4 linked regions of the Rattus norvegicus genome follow. The protein of the gene in region 1 binds, or shares a complex with, the protein of each later gene. Links are inferred from orthologs where the notes say so. Each region holds a gene or a part of one and is shown on either strand. Other genes may lie near its edges. The genes, in order: Itgav, Itgb6, Tgfb1 and Itgb8.

What was found.
Region 2: the proteins of Itgav (region 1) and Itgb6 are in contact, whole or in part, in a crystal structure (PDB 9CZA), measured with the Homo sapiens proteins. The link is inferred for Rattus norvegicus from reciprocal best matches to the Homo sapiens genes ITGAV and ITGB6. Residues at the interface, in NP_002201.2 of Homo sapiens: Tyr48, Phe51, Lys72, Trp123, Leu141, His143, Gln150, Glu151, Arg152, Pro154, Asp178, Ala179, Phe184, Gln186, Phe189, Pro204, Tyr208, Trp209, Asp249, Tyr251, Tyr254, Pro274, Arg275, Arg278, Thr279, Met302, Ala303, Tyr305, Phe308, Pro328; in NP_000879.2 of Homo sapiens: Ser183, Pro184, Phe185, Lys187, Thr188, Thr189, Pro190, Ile236, Asp237, Thr238, Pro239, Asp273, Ser274, His275, Phe276, Gly277, Met278, Asp279, Lys281, Leu282, Ala283, Gly284, Val286, Pro288, Glu308, Thr311, Ile312, Gly313, Gln314, Ile316.
Region 3: the proteins of Itgav (region 1) and Tgfb1 are in contact, whole or in part, in a crystal structure (PDB 5FFO), measured with the Homo sapiens proteins. The link is inferred for Rattus norvegicus from reciprocal best matches to the Homo sapiens genes ITGAV and TGFB1. Residues at the interface, in NP_002201.2 of Homo sapiens: Asp178, Asp180, Phe207, Tyr208, Gln210, Ala245, Asp248; in NP_000651.3 of Homo sapiens: Gly242, Arg243, Arg244, Gly245.
Region 4: the proteins of Itgav (region 1) and Itgb8 are in contact, whole or in part, in a cryo-EM structure (PDB 8TCF), measured with the Homo sapiens proteins. The link is inferred for Rattus norvegicus from reciprocal best matches to the Homo sapiens genes ITGAV and ITGB8. Residues at the interface, in NP_002201.2 of Homo sapiens: Tyr48, Phe51, Trp123, Leu141, His143, Gln150, Glu151, Arg152, Pro154, Phe184, Gln186, Phe189, Pro204, Trp209, Asp249, Tyr251, Tyr254, Arg275, Arg278, Thr279, Gln301, Met302, Ala303, Tyr305, Phe308, Pro328, Leu329, Met331, Ser335, Asp336; in NP_002205.1 of Homo sapiens: Ser197, Pro198, Ile202, His203, Pro204, Arg206, Ile250, Asp251, Thr252, Pro253, Thr287, Ser288, His289, Leu290, Ala291, Leu292, Asp293, Lys295, Leu296, Gly298, Val300, Pro302, Glu321, Ser324, Leu325, Gly326, Gln327, Glu330, His349, Trp350.

What each region holds. Positions count from the first base shown.
Region 1 is NC_086021.1:89,283,362-89,286,927, forward strand, and holds part of Itgav (integrin alpha-V isoform 1 precursor), read left to right. Parts: intron 1-384; coding exon 385-587; intron 588-3,566.
Region 2 is NC_086021.1:65,523,791-65,527,356, forward strand, and holds part of Itgb6 (integrin beta-6 precursor), read right to left. Parts: intron 2,181-3,566; coding exon 1,976-2,180; intron 821-1,975; coding exon 574-820; intron 1-573. UniProt on the Homo sapiens protein: Integrin alpha-V:beta-6 (ITGAV:ITGB6) is a receptor for fibronectin and cytotactin. It recognizes the sequence R-G-D in its ligands. Internalization of integrin alpha-V/beta-6 via clathrin-mediated endocytosis promotes carcinoma cell invasion.
Region 3 is NC_086019.1:90,330,772-90,334,337, reverse strand, and holds part of Tgfb1 (transforming growth factor beta-1 proprotein precursor), read right to left. Parts: intron 2,024-3,566; coding exon 1,946-2,023; intron 1,790-1,945; coding exon 1,642-1,789; intron 1-1,641. UniProt on the Homo sapiens protein: Transforming growth factor beta-1 proprotein: Precursor of the Latency-associated peptide (LAP) and Transforming growth factor beta-1 (TGF-beta-1) chains, which constitute the regulatory and active subunit of TGF-beta-1, respectively.
Region 4 is NC_086024.1:146,271,199-146,274,764, reverse strand, and holds part of Itgb8 (integrin beta-8 precursor), read left to right. Parts: intron 1-1,386; coding exon 1,387-1,550; intron 1,551-1,638; coding exon 1,639-1,761; 3' UTR 1,762-3,566. UniProt on the Homo sapiens protein: Integrin alpha-V:beta-8 (ITGAV:ITGB8) is a receptor for fibronectin. It recognizes the sequence R-G-D in its ligands.

The sequences.
Region 1 (3,566 bases):
TTGTCCTGCAGAGGACTTGAGTTCTAGTCTCAGCACCCACTTGGTGGCTCATGGCCATCTTAAATCTAGTTCTAAGGGATCCAGTGCCCCTTTCTGCCATCTGAGGGTGCCAGGCACACACATGGGACACAACCACAGAAGAAGGATGGGGACCCCTTTAACCCTAGCAGAATCAGGTGGACCTCTGAGAGTTTGAGGCTTGCCTGATCTACAGAAGAAGTTCCAGGACACCAGGGCTACACAGAGAAACCCTGTCTCAGAAAGACAAACCAACCTAATACCCAACCAAATAAAAAACACCCAAAGCGTAAAGTAGAAGACTGTGAGAATGATGACTGTGAGATAGGATTCGACCTTGTGTGTGAGGATGTTCTCTTCTTGCAGTTATGCAGATGTGTTTATTGGAGCCCCTCTGTTCATGGACCGAGGTTCTGATGGAAAACTCCAGGAGGTCGGCCAGGTCTCAGTGTCTCTACAGAGAGCGTCGGGAGACTTCCAGACTACAAAGCTGAACGGGTTTGAGGTTTTTGCCAGATTTGGAAGTGCCATAGCTCCTTTGGGAGACCTGGACCAGGATGGCTTCAATGGTAAGATCCAAGGGCCTTTCTGTGCCACCTGAGGAAGTCCTAAAATGTCGGGGATAGGAGCTCTTAGGTGCAAACCTCCTCCCCAGAAGGAGATGAGGGAGCACATCACTGACACCAAATTTAAAAATAGATTGCTGTTTTTTTTTCCTTTAAAATGAGCAAAAGAATTTTCAAAACTCGGCATTCATGAGCTAGAGTGCCAGACGATTAAATTCTGAGAGGAGCCCTCTGCATCCTGCTGCCTGGCAGCGCCCTCTACTGTCCCTTTGGTTCCAAGTGAAAAACTAGCTCCCAGGCCCATTGTCAAAGCAATAATGACTGAATGCCCACCTCAGGTGTGAGCTTCCACTGCTGTTTTTATAGTTGCAGCTTTATAGCAAAACCTTGGAGGGAGATCGCATGTCTTTTCGTGGGGACTTGTAAATGGCTTGTGCTCATTCTGTTTTAGTGGTCTTATATTCCAGTAGTTACAGATATCTTTAAAAAAAAGTTGACTTTTACTACACAGCTCTTTTCCAAAGCCTGAAATACAGATTAAAAATTAGATACATAAAGTATAGGTTTAAGATTTTTGTAAAGGAATAGTAAGGAGAGAAGAACTGTTGGTTTGTTTGTCTAACCAGCTATATATTTGGGTGTGCCCCGCACATGTAATAGAAAGCATTAAGAAGAGAGCTTGATAAATTCACTAGCACAGGAGACTCTGACTGGACAGTGGAAAGGACAGGCCTCCACTCCTGCCTTGTGGACAGCTGTGAGTCACAGGCCAGCTAGAATAACCGGAGAGGATTTCAGATTTAGTGAATACTAGTCCAAGGTATATTTTGTTTCCTAAAGTAGTCTTCAGCCTTTTGTTTTTTGTCATCAAAGAACACAGCATTCAACTGTAGAATAAAGCTCATGATAAGTTATGGAAAGACCACTGTGGGTCATTGCTTACTGATAATAAAACTGTATTTGATTTTTCTACCTTGTATATAATTATTGGGTCCCTGTCATTTTAGCTGGGCTCTGTCTCCCAGGCTTTCTGGAACAGCTAAGACACGTGCTGTTGCTTTGTTCCAGAGGTATTCCAGTCACCTTAAAGACATTTCCTGGGTATTGTCATCTTACTTTTCTTATGTTTGTTATGTTATTTGACAGCATGTATAAATAACAGCAAGAATCTTCGAAGATTTTTACAAAGAAGTTTTAGTGTTTGGAGATAAATACCTGAGGAGGTGTTGATGGTGTCTAGGAAACTGTGAATGGTAAATCTTTAATGGAAGATTACCTGAGCCATGTTTATATAAACATGCACTTTTGTCCTGCTAGTTCCAATCTAATTTTATTCAGCTCTGATAACAGTGAATGCCTGTTTCAGTCCTCCACCCCTCTTAGATATCAGCAAAAGGTGAATTAGTTACTTGTTGATGTTACCAGATATGAAGCAACTTAAGGGAGTGTCTTAGTTAGGCTTTTACTTCTGTGAAGCGGCACCATGACCAAGGCAACTCTTATAAGGACAACATTTAATTGGGGCTGGTTTACAGGTTCAGAGGTTCAGTTCATTATCATCAAGTTGTGAGCATGGCAGCATCCAGGCAGGCATGGTGCAGGAAGAGCTGAGAGTTCTACATCTTGATCTAAAGGCTGCTAGAAGTTTGGCTCTCACGTGGTTAGGACAGTATGGGATCAAGGGGTGGGTCTTAAAGCCCGTGACCACAGGCACACACCTATTCCAACAAGGCCACACCTACTCCAAAATGCCACATCTCCTAATAGTGCCACTGCCTTGGCCAAGTATATTTAAAACACTGCAGGGAAGGAGGGTTTTCCTTGGCTTACACTCTGAGAGCAGTAGAAGCAGAAGCATAATGTACCTGGTCTCTTGTGCCTACAGGCACGTTGCAGACACTGACAGGAAGTGAGGCCATATTATAAGGCTGCACAGCCTGCTTCCTCTCCCTGAAACACTAATCCACTTCCCCCAGCTAGGGTCCACCTCTGTGATGTCCCACAGCTCTCCAGGTCAGCACCACTAGCTGGAGACCAAGGGTTCAAGCTTGGGGATGAGGGACTTCACAGTCGAAGCACAACAAAATGGGTATGGAGAACAAAACAATAAGTCAGGTTTCATATTTTTATGTAGACTCGGGAAGTTTTTGTCATTTTGCCTAACAAAACAAAACAGAGGGAAGGGTTGAAACCTAAAGAGAATTAATGCAATCCAAGGAGAAGTAAGTGAGTTCATGACAGTGCAAGCCGCTCCAGACAGCAGCCGAGAGGGAGACAGTGACTGTGTATGCAATCCTGATGGGGTTAGCGAGAGACAGTTCATATTAAATAACCTCACAGACTACAGCCAGCATGATGGATGAGGTTAGAAAGAGATAGTAATCTCACAGACTAGAATCATCTTGTGGTGGGAAATTAATCAGTATTTTCTTTTTAAAAATTTATTTATCAATTTATTTATATGAATATGCCATAGCTGTCTTCAGAAACACCAGTAGAGAGCATCAGATCTCATTACAGATGGTTGTGAGCCACCATGTGGTTGCTGGGAATTGAACTCAGGACCTCTGGAAGAGCATTCAGGACTCTTAACCACTGAGCTATCTCTCCAACCCCAATCAGTTTCTTAATGCATATGTCAACTTGAATTATCTTTTTAAAACTTAGAAAGGGTTAAAGGAACTATTTTACATGATGCAAATACCTATTTTCAAAGGGTGACCTATTCTTAGAGCTTGTGGCTACAGATAGTCTCCTCAGTGCTGAAAATCAGAGGTAATTAAAGCTGCTGTGATGGTGCACACCTTTCCGTCAAGTGTTCTGGAGGGAGAGGTAAGCAGATCTCTGTGAATGTGCAGCCAGCCTGGTCTTCAAAGTTCCAGCCAGCCAAAGCTATATACCCTGTCTCAACCAAAGCAAAGCAAACCACCAAGAAACAAAGAGATTAATCACCAACACACATTCTTATCCAGGCAGTGGTGG
Region 2 (3,566 bases), about 24 Mb from region 1:
ATTCACCCTTGACTAGTACCTGCATAATACATGTTTTTGGTGACTGATTATAGCATATTATAATAGAGGCACCGCCCCATTTCCTGTTGAATTTAATTGCAGTGAAGGCTGCTGCTCTCAGCGACAAGCAAAAGCCACATTTCCCAAAGTGCGTCAGAAGAAGGTGCAAGAATTGTTATTTTGACAGAAATACTCAGAAAAAAAATGTAGGTTAATGTCAAATAACCCTAGGAAGTGATGGTCACTAGGAACCGAAGATCCCTGAGGGACTGGTATATGTGCCCTGTGTAGCCAACAGTGAAAGACAAACTCTCCTTGTCCACAAACAGGAAACATAGTTGGCTCCATCCTGGCCCGAAAACCTGGCAGGTGATGCAGGGTCTGCAGGCTAGATCATGGAGTTACGATGACCTCACCTTGGCTGGAAGCTACCTAGGCCACAGAGAATTGCTGAGATCCAAACTCGAGGCAGAATGCCAGGGTGTTAACAAGCTGCAAGCCCAGCAGCCCAGCTGTGTGGATTCCATCTATAGAAGGCAGTGCTCAGGGAAACCAGGGAGTTCACTCACTTACCTGCAAGGGTTGGTGATTTCCTCTGGTGTTGTTTTCATAAAAGGAGAAACGGGCTTTTCCACAAAAGAGCCAAAGCCCAGTCTAAAGTTGCTGGTTAATTTAGACATCTCTTTGGCCAGCCGGGAGCCAAGCTCTTTGATTGTGTTGAGGTCATCATCCATGGAGGCCGAGAGGTCCATGAGGTAATACAGATCTACTGGGTAATCTTCCGTCTGGCGGACCTGCACTTGCAGAGTCTGCTCACCCCCTGCAATGTCCCGTGAGAAAGGCAAATCCTTAAACACAGAAGTTCTTTGTAACTAACCAATCTTGAGCTACCTGGCTACTTTATTTCAGTGTGACCTTATTAAGATGCATGCAATCAGCCACCAAACACAGTCACTATTGCTGATGCCAAGAAATGCTTGCTGACAGGAGCCTGATATGGATGTCTGCTGAGAGGCTCTGCCAGAGCATGACAAATACAGAGGGGGATGCTCTTAGCCAACCATTGCATGGAGTCCCCACTGGAGGAGTTAGAGAAAGAACTGAAGGAGCTGAAGGGGTTTGCAACCCCATAGGAAGAACAACATTATCAACCAACCAGACCCCATCCCCCCCAAGAGCTTCTGGGGACTAAACCACCAACAAAAGAGTACACATGGAGGGACCTGTGGCTCCAGCTGCATATGTAGCAGAGGATGGCCTTGTCTGGCATCAATAGGAGGAGAGGACCTTGATCCTGTGAAGGCTTGTTTCCCCAATGTAGGGGAATGCCAGGGTGTTGAGGTGGGAGTGGGTGGGTGGGAGTGGGAGCCTCTTCATAGAAGCAGGGGGAGGGGAGGGGAAGTGGGAAAGGGGGGAAAGGGGATAATATTTGAAGTGTAAATACATAAAATACCCAATTAAAAAAACTAAAAAAAAATGCATGTAATCTCATGAACTGTGTGGTAACATTTGTCAACGAACCCATCCATGCAAATCTCAACAGTGAGTTTTGAAGCACTGAAGGATGTGTATGTTGGGACATTTTATATCTCCTTGGGAGAAGTAGCATCCATTTAGATGGAAGATAAGCTGCCATGTGTGTGTGTGTGTGTGTGTGTGTGTGTGTGTGTGTGTGTGTGTGTGTGGCTTTAGAAAAGGTGACCCTTTCAAATAAAGGGGAAATTACATCTGTATTTCAGTCCTTGCAGAAACATGTAGTAATATGGTCAACATTTGAGAAATTCGAATGGTCACCATCAGAGAAGCTGTCTTCAGTGACACATTTGGAATGTAATGAAGAGATGTGTCGGTAGGTAATTCCCCATTTCCTTCAGACTGGGACGTGAGAATTCCCAACAACCAATGATGTGATGGGGAGTCAGAGGGATTATCAGAGAGCAGGGCACAGACACGGCACTAGGCAACCACATCGTACCTGGTCTCAACTTAAGAACCAAGCTTTGAGGAGCAATCTGAACAATGTCAGAACTGTTTTTCTGTCGACCTACGCTGAGAGGCTTATTTTGAAGTATTTCTACTTGGGAGACAGGGTTTTCGATGAAGGGTAACTGACATCCTTTGGCTAAAAGATTCTCGGGGGTGTCGCACCTTTCGCCAGCTCCGGACAGGTGGGTGAAATTCTAAAGGGGGGAAACAGTGAGAAGAAGACAAGTCATCATTTCTTTGTAAAATTCCAGACATTAAATTTGTTTGTGCTTAGAGGAATAAGTACATGCTAGGAACATCACATCCCCTACGCCACTGGTGGCGATTGGCAGATGGAGTTCTGTGATAGCTGAATAACCAGAGAATTTACCCAGCAATTTTTAAGAATAAACCTGGGCTCCCCCCCCCCCCCGCCAAACCCATGTCGTAAAATTTCTTCAGTAATCTGAGTGGATCTTTTAAATGTCTGAGTCTCCAAAGTTGATATTTTCCTGAGAATTTGTTCCGAATGAATGGCTGGCTTCTGGACTAGCCTAGGACTGTTGAAGCTTTGTGTGTCTGTCAACAAACCCAGAGAGATGTTTCCTGTGGATTCCTAAAGGACAGAGCACCTGACATCTCCCTGTCTGGCGCTCTGCTGCTTTTATTGGATGATGTGTTCCCTTCAGCTACAGCATCCCTGCACTCGAACTGACCTCTCAAGGACTTTAAATTCAGTGTCTTAAGGATTCTAGTTCAAGGTCTTTTAGAGCCCCCTCCACCACCCATGTTTAGAGGCTGAAAGAGAAGGTGGTTTAAAGGTGTGCCTTCTGTCTGGGATTTCAGAAAGACCCAGCCCTTCATGTCCATCCATAGAGAAGGCAGAAGGCGGCTCAACAGAGATGTGGCCACTCTGATCTTGCAGGACCCAGAGCAGGGAGATGCGGCCAAGGCATGGACAGAACAGGTGCTACTGACAGGCAAAGCTGGTCTGAGCGGAATTGACCTGAGGTCCTTGGACTCTGGTGTGTGTGTGTGTGTGTGTGTGTGTGGTGTGTGTGGTGTGTGTGGTGTGTGTGTGTGTGTGTGTGTGTGTGTGTGTGTGTGTGGTGTGTGTGTGTGTGTGTGTGGTGTGTGTGGTGTGTGTGGTGTGTGTGGTGTGTGGTGTGTGTGTGCGTGTGTGTGTGTGTGTGTGGTGTGTGTGTGTGTGTGTGTGTGTGTGTGTGTGTGTGTGTGTGTGATGTGCTCATGGAAGCCCATTTTGGTGCCTACTGAGAATCAGACTAATGCTCATGGCTTTTCTTGCCCCTTAGGATTCTAAGCCATTGCTGCTATTTTCACCGACCAGGAAAGCTACACTTCTTCTGCAATTGACTTTCAAATACGACTTGTTACCTGCCCATCAGACCTATACAGATTTATAGCTATAATCTGGGTCTGGCAAACCACAACTTCCCATGACGTAATAAAGGCATACAGTGGCTGCACAGGGCCTCAGAATGCTTCCTAACACAGTATGAATGGCTATCAGCTCTGCTCAGCCTTTCCCAAAAGAATAAAGTTGGGGGTGGGGCTGGGGCTGGAGAGATGGCTCAGTGGTA
Region 3 (3,566 bases), on another chromosome or scaffold:
CAGAGGACGTGGCTCAGTGAGTCAAGTGCTTGCTATGCAAGCATGAAGACCTGGGTTTGGATTCCCAGAGCCCACACATACATCAGGCATAAACAAAACAAATGTAGAGAGAGAGGCAGGCAGGCAGGCAGGCAGGCAGGCAGACAGACAGACAGACAGACAGACAGACAAAGAGATTTTCCTGATTCCCTAAGTTCGTTTCCCAGTATGCGGGGAACAGAGCTTGCATAGTTTTCTCATCTCTTAGTAACCTGCAGTGTGAAGCCCCTCCATCTGTTCCTATGTGAAGGCTAACAGCAAAAGGACGGTGAAGGCGGGGTTGGGGATTTAGCTCAGTGGTAGAGCGCTTGCCTATGAAGCACAAGGCCCTGGATTCGGTCCCCAGCTCCGAAAAAAAGAACCAAAAAAAAAAAAAAAAAAAGGGACGGTGAAGGAGGAGGAGGAGGAGGAGGGGGAGGAGGGGGAGGGGGAGGAGCAGCTCCAGCCAAGGACCGACATACAACACAGCACTCTATAAAGTCTGAAGCAGGGAAGGGACAGGTAGCTCACTGCTCTCATCTCAACTCTCCTGAATTTCACACCTCCTAGGATCTAGTGTTTCAACTTCTTTCTCGCAATCCGCATTACCGAGGCTTAGTATGAGTCTGCCATTCTGTCTGAAATGGGGTGGTTGGGTAACACCTGTAATCCCAGGACAGAGAATTCAAGCTAGCCTGGGCTAAAGGAGTGAATCTGAGGGTAGCCTCAGTCACACAGCAAAGCCCTGTCTTGAACAAAACAAAGTGGGTCAAGGTGCTCACTGCCAAACCTGATAACCTGAGTCTTATCTCTGGGACACTCGCGGTGGAAGGAGAACGGACTCCCAACAGTTGTCCTCTGACCTTCACACAAGTGTCATGGCATGGGTGCCCCTACACGCAAGCACGCACACACACACGCACACACAGATATAATTTAAAAACAATGACCAAAAAGCATTTGCCCTTGGGATGGCCATTCTGGACACTCTAGGATGCCCACTCTCCGACTCCTCAGAGTTCCCTGCTTCAGTGCTGTCTTCCAACACTCCACACTTGTAAGCCTACATCTCAGGAAGTTCCGCCTCCCAGCTTCCTCAGGGTGCACCACTGCAAGATGAAGCCCTGACCCTCAGGGGACTCACATTCTGGCTTTCTCCACCTCCACTCTGAACGCTAACATCTCCATGCCAGACCCTGCCATTCTGAGCCCCAATAATTGTCGTTCCCAACTACCAGCATTGGAGACCACCATCTGCCTCGAGTGTGGGAACCCAGTGCAGACCGCCTTCTGATTCTGAACCCAAATGCTTGGATCTCAACTCTCCCGCTTTCTAGGGTCAGCACTCTCAATTGCTCACAGTAAATTCTTTCATTAGCATTGCAAAGTGGTGGAAGCCTAGCAAGAATTTTAAAACCCAACAAGATAACCTTCCAACCGACTTCTAACTCTTGTGCTAACCTGAACACTCCAGCCAGAAAACACCCCACATTCTAGACTCTCAGCTGCCCACAGAACCAAGAACTTGTCCCCAAGCCCTCCAGGCATGAATGGTGGCACACCAGTCCACAGGCTGCAGTCAAGCCCCCAGCCTGTGCAGCCTCCGAGAGAGACAGAGTTTACCTGAAGCAGTAGTTGGTATCCAGGGCTCTCCGGTGCCTGGAGCTGTGCAGGTGTTGAGCCCTTTCCAGGGGGGTGGCCATGAGGAGCAGGAAGGGTCGGTTCATGTCATGGATGGTGCCCAGGTCACCTCGACGTTTGGGACTGATCCCTGTTTGGGTTTGAATGTTGTGGAGGGATGGATGGGTGAGCAAGGGGCGAGTGAGATTTCTCTCACACACACACACACACACGCACGCACGCACGCACGCACGCACGCACGCACATGCAGGGTCTGTGTCCGGCAGGAGCTGGGAAGTTAACTCACCATTGATTTCCACGTGGAGTACATTATCTTTGCTGTCACAAGAGCAGTGAGCACTGAAGCGAAAGCCCTGTATTCCGTCTGCAGGAGAGGAAAGGAGTCTGAGGTGACTGGTGAGGCCTTGATGGGGGGAAGGGAGAGGGGGCAGGAAGCTGCCAGCCCTGGGGCCTCCTTGCTAGTCACCCCACACTTTTCGCTCTTTAAGTTGCTGGTTCCTTCTCCCCTTTATTCAGGGCTCAGCTCAAACGTCAACCCCTTGGGAAAGGCTCTGAGGAGACACTTCCCTCTCCAAATGTGGCATCCATTCCTTTCCTCCATAGCGGGCAGGGGCTCTGACATTTCTGCATGAGTATTTACTTCTTTGATTATTCTCAGTAGAACAACATGAACAGAGGAGGGATCCTGTGCCTGCCTTATTTCCTTTCATTTTATATTTTTTGGAACTGTAGATATGTATGTGTATATATGTATATGTATGCATGTATAATGTACATTTTATACCAGGTAGGCTTATACCTGGGTGACAAGCATCTTCCTCTAATCCTTTCTCCCTCATTGCCTCAGACAGATCTCTGGACTTGAGCCCACCCCTTTGGCCAGATTGGCAGATCACAGAGTCATGAGTTGGCCTGTCTCCATACATACACCGAACCCCCAACAAGGCTGGGGTTACAGGCACACACTACGCCAATGTCGGACTTTTACATGAGTGCCAGGGATGAGAATTCAGGTCCTTGTGCTTGCAAAATGGAAGCTCTTGCGCCCATGACCCCTCTCCATGGCCCTCTTTTTCTTTGGAGACAGGGTCTCACGTAGCCCAAGCTGGCCTCAAATTCTCGAACTCACTATGGAGCTAAGACCTTGAACTCATGATCCTCTTGCCTTCGCCTCCCAAGCGCAGAGTTTAGCAGGCTTTCGTACCATCAGGCATGTTGCCCTGGGTTCTTGCTATCTTCTTGCTCTGTAAAGCCTGGTCCTTGGTCACAAAGATAAACATCATCATGATCTAGGTGCCAAGGGCCAGGAGCAGTGTTGGTGTCGAAGGACATTCAGAGCGAACACAGACGCCAGTCACTCACTGATCTAAACTCCACTGATCTTCAGAGTCCTTCACTCCAGGAGGAAGCGACTTAGCCAGGGCCACACAGGGAGCCAGAGGCAAAGGCACGGTGCAAACCTAAGCTGGCCTCTTCTCATTATTCAGGGGGGTGCACATGTGCCAGGGTATGCAGGGAGGTCAGGGGTCAATTTGTAGAAGTTGGTTCCCTCCAACTTCCTGGGTGTTCCTGGGGCTTGAACCTAAGCCATTAATCTCAGCAGTGGGCACCTTTATCTGCTGAGCCATCTTACTGGTTCAAGGGAGATGTTCCTTGAGTGGACACATAAATGATACTAAGCGCCTACTGTATACCACACAAAATTCTTCTTGACCTCCATCCAGTGGGCTTTCCACATTCCTCTTGGTGCCAGCCCACTCGGACTCATCCTCCATGTGGCTAAACTACACATCCCATGAGTCAGTCTTCTCTCATCCCAGAAGCCCTCCTGGGTCCTAACCTTGCCTGGGTTTCCACAACACTTTGGTTTCCCTCATCTAAGCCTTGCCCTCTCTGTAGGTCTCCCT
Region 4 (3,566 bases), on another chromosome or scaffold:
GGGATCAAGCCGCGTGCCCCGCTAAGGATTGGCTTAGCTGATTGGAGTAGACTAAGTCAGCCAAGGGACATCACAATCTGTCAGTACATAAGCTATGAGGGTCACTAACCTGATGGCAAGCAGCTGCAAAAGATCAAGTAGCACCACCTTTGGACACACATTTTGTATTCTGTCCCCATAATATCTTTAACAAGGAAGCATTGTACTATACTGGCATCTGCTGTTTCCATTTCAATGAGTTGAAATGGGTCTATCTTTGACCTTCTCAAAGTCTTTTGTCACCAATCACAACAATGGTCTCTCTTAAGTCCACCTAGTTGGAGAAGATCCCTTTCCCCCATTGCTGAAATCGTGCCTCATTTAATAGGCATGCTGGGTTAGCATTGATCATTCAAGCCAGAATCAGCCATGCCTGGCTGCTACTATGCTCATGGCCTTGGCACATCCTCTCTCTAGATGCTCTTTCAAAGGCAACTGTAGCATTCAGACCAGGTCCCTGAAGCGTGCAAAATGGGTGGAGAAACACATGCTTCAGTCCAGGAAGTGTTTTATGAATCTGGGGCGCTTGTGAGCTCTGTGGAATACCCACTATTGTGTAATCGTGTTCCTCAGAGGCTAGAGTAGACCTCAAACAAGCACAGAGCTTACAGATTTTTCCAATGAGAGTTTGCCAGAGATCTGGTACTAAAACAAAGGTCTAGCATGCTCCCTCTCCTAACACAGCTTTTCTTTCTTCATCCAGTGATTATTCGTTCGTGGAGGAACACATAATGAATTTGTGGAGGCAAACAGACTAGATTAGTAAAGTTAATTAGTAAAAAGTGAGATGTGAGATTTGGGTATTGTCCAAGATGCAACACTCCTACTTCTCGGAGTCATGATGTGTAATAATAATGAAATCTTGCACCAGGGTTTGGAGGAAATATTTATTTCCCTATTAGAGTAGTACTGAGTTAGTTTCTGCAGATGTTTACTTTATTTTCCATTACTGCTGAGCAATAAAGGAGGAGAAAGCATAAAAGGAAAAACACATGCTAAATGCTTCAGGCTGCTCAACACCCTTTTTAAATCATGTTTTCCACATAGCACTGAACTGTACATGCCACTATACCTCCCTCTGTCAGTGTTCTAAACAAACTTACATATAGGTAAGAGATTTTGACATAGAAAACTACAAAAAGTTGAAATATTTTAATTGTGAATATTCTCCAAAAAAGAGTTCACTGTTTTGAATAATCAGTAATAACAGCCTCTTCTTTTGAAAATAGAGACATAAATAAACCTGTTTTTATTATAGGAATATAAACTACATTTATTTGATAGAAAACTTTGATTAACTTTTTAAAACTTTTTTTTTAATCGATCAACTTGTTTCCTTTCTTGCAGAGTGTTTATCTGGCCCAAGCTATCTGCGAATATTTTTCATCATATTCATAGTGACATTCTTGATTGGGTTGCTTAAAGTTCTTATCATTAGACAAGTGATACTACAGTGGAATAGTAATAAAATAAAGTCCTCATCAGATTACAGAGTGTCTGCTTCCAAAAAGGTTGGTGAACTCAGAGGATAGCCATACGTTATTGTTCAGTTCTAATGCTCAGCTCCTTCACTAATCCCAATATTTCTTCTCCATCAAGGATAAACTGATTCTGCAAAGTGTTTGCACGAGAGCTGTAACCTACCGACGAGAAAAGCCTGAGGAAATAAAAATGGATATCAGCAAACTAAACGCCCAGGAGGCTTTCAGGTGCAACTTCTAAAGAACGATTAGCAAACGAGCAAAAACTGTTGGAAGCTGGATGTTTTTATACAATGTATTCTAGCAAATATGATATAAAAAGTCACAGGAGGAGACAAATTATTGAAGAGTGTGCCATGGAGACTGGCAGGTGTCTTCACAACTATGTGACTCACTCAGCTGCTGACATTTTCAGTGAACTATGTGTCTTACTACTGTTGGAGACTAGCGTTGTAGCACTTTACTGTAATATATAACTTATTTAGATCAGCGTAGAATGTAGATTGTCTGGAAAGCACTGATTACACTTTACAGGTACCTGTCAGCCCTGCGCTGCTCAGACAGACACAAGGCTATGGAGCGGGTTGCACGGTGTCACCACCGCAGAGCAGTGATCCTTGTGTGCAACCAGCTGATGAAAAGCATCCAGGAGTAGTGGAAACAGTCAACCACACCCAACAATTGGTATTGTCTAGATGTGCACACGCAGCTGAGCAAGGGTTAGGGTTTCATTTCAGTTGGAGGTGAACAGATAAACTTTAAATGGTGTTGCTTTTGAAGCTGTGCAGTTTTGTGCATGTAGGAGTCTGCTTTCTTCTCTTTTAAAAAATGGATTTTGACTCAAACATCTTTTCCCTTTTTTGCATTTAAATTCTGTTTTTTCCTTTGGAATAAGTTTATAATGTCACAAATGACTGGATTAAATAAGTGCTAAGTTACTACTGCCGTAGAAACCTATATGACAATGTCACTTTATTAGAATACTGTTTGGTTTTTAAAGCTGAATGTTAATAAGGGTCACTGTAAGGTGTCATCTAAGTCCATAGCTTCTTTGTCTGAAAATAGTTTATATTTTCTTACCTGTCAAACTGGATGGATTGTTTCACTCTGTCATTGATCTGGCCTGTAGCCTGAAGTCCACAGGTGTCTACAAAGCTGCTTCAAGCTGAGTACCCTCTTTTCTGAGTATGTTTTCTTGATTTTTACTCCAAGTTGATGTCAACAGTTTTCAAATGAAAAAGTTGTATTATTCTTGCCCTCCTGTGCACCCTAAGGGCACTCCTTGAATCATCCCAACCCTGCTCATGAGAATTCAGAAAGGTATAGAATTGGAGACGTGAGGGTAATGTCTTGGAAACAAGCTAATCCTCCCTTTTTGATAGCCAGGGAATGGAGGCTCAGAAAATTAAAATGCTTTTACAAAAACACAGAAGCAGAGAAATGACAGTATTCGAGAAGAGCTGCCTTCTAATTACAGGCCAGCATTGCACAATAATACTCTACCTCTTGAATCTGCAAAATATCCATGGCAAAAATTAAAATACGATTTACTGAATTTTTCACGAGAATATTTCAGAGCAAAGTAGAAAAGGGTACTGTGCGTAAGCAGCTTCTAGTTTTTCACATTACCCACCCTCTGATAAGGCTTTGATACAGTCCTTCCCTCCACAGTGGCTACAAGAACAAGCCTCCTAGAGCTGGGCATGGCTCAGCTTAAAGCCTTGATCCAGAGGCTCGGTACTTGAATTCTAAATTCCAACTGTCCTTTGTGTAGCAAGTGTCTCACCTGTGACAACAGAGGAATCTAAAGAGTGTCTCTCCTCAGTTTACTGCTCTCCAGCACTTGAAAGTTCTAGATATTAGCATGTTGAAGACAAGCCTCCATTAGGTATCACTCTGGGGCCTGGAAAGCCTGTCCATTATTCTCTATCCAGAAAACATGATGTGTCCCTTAGCAGAGCAGTAGTGATGCTCTTAACTGAGTGTTTCTTCTTCCTCAATGAGAACCGGGCATAGTCAAAATACTGTGACTGTGTCTAAAGAAAC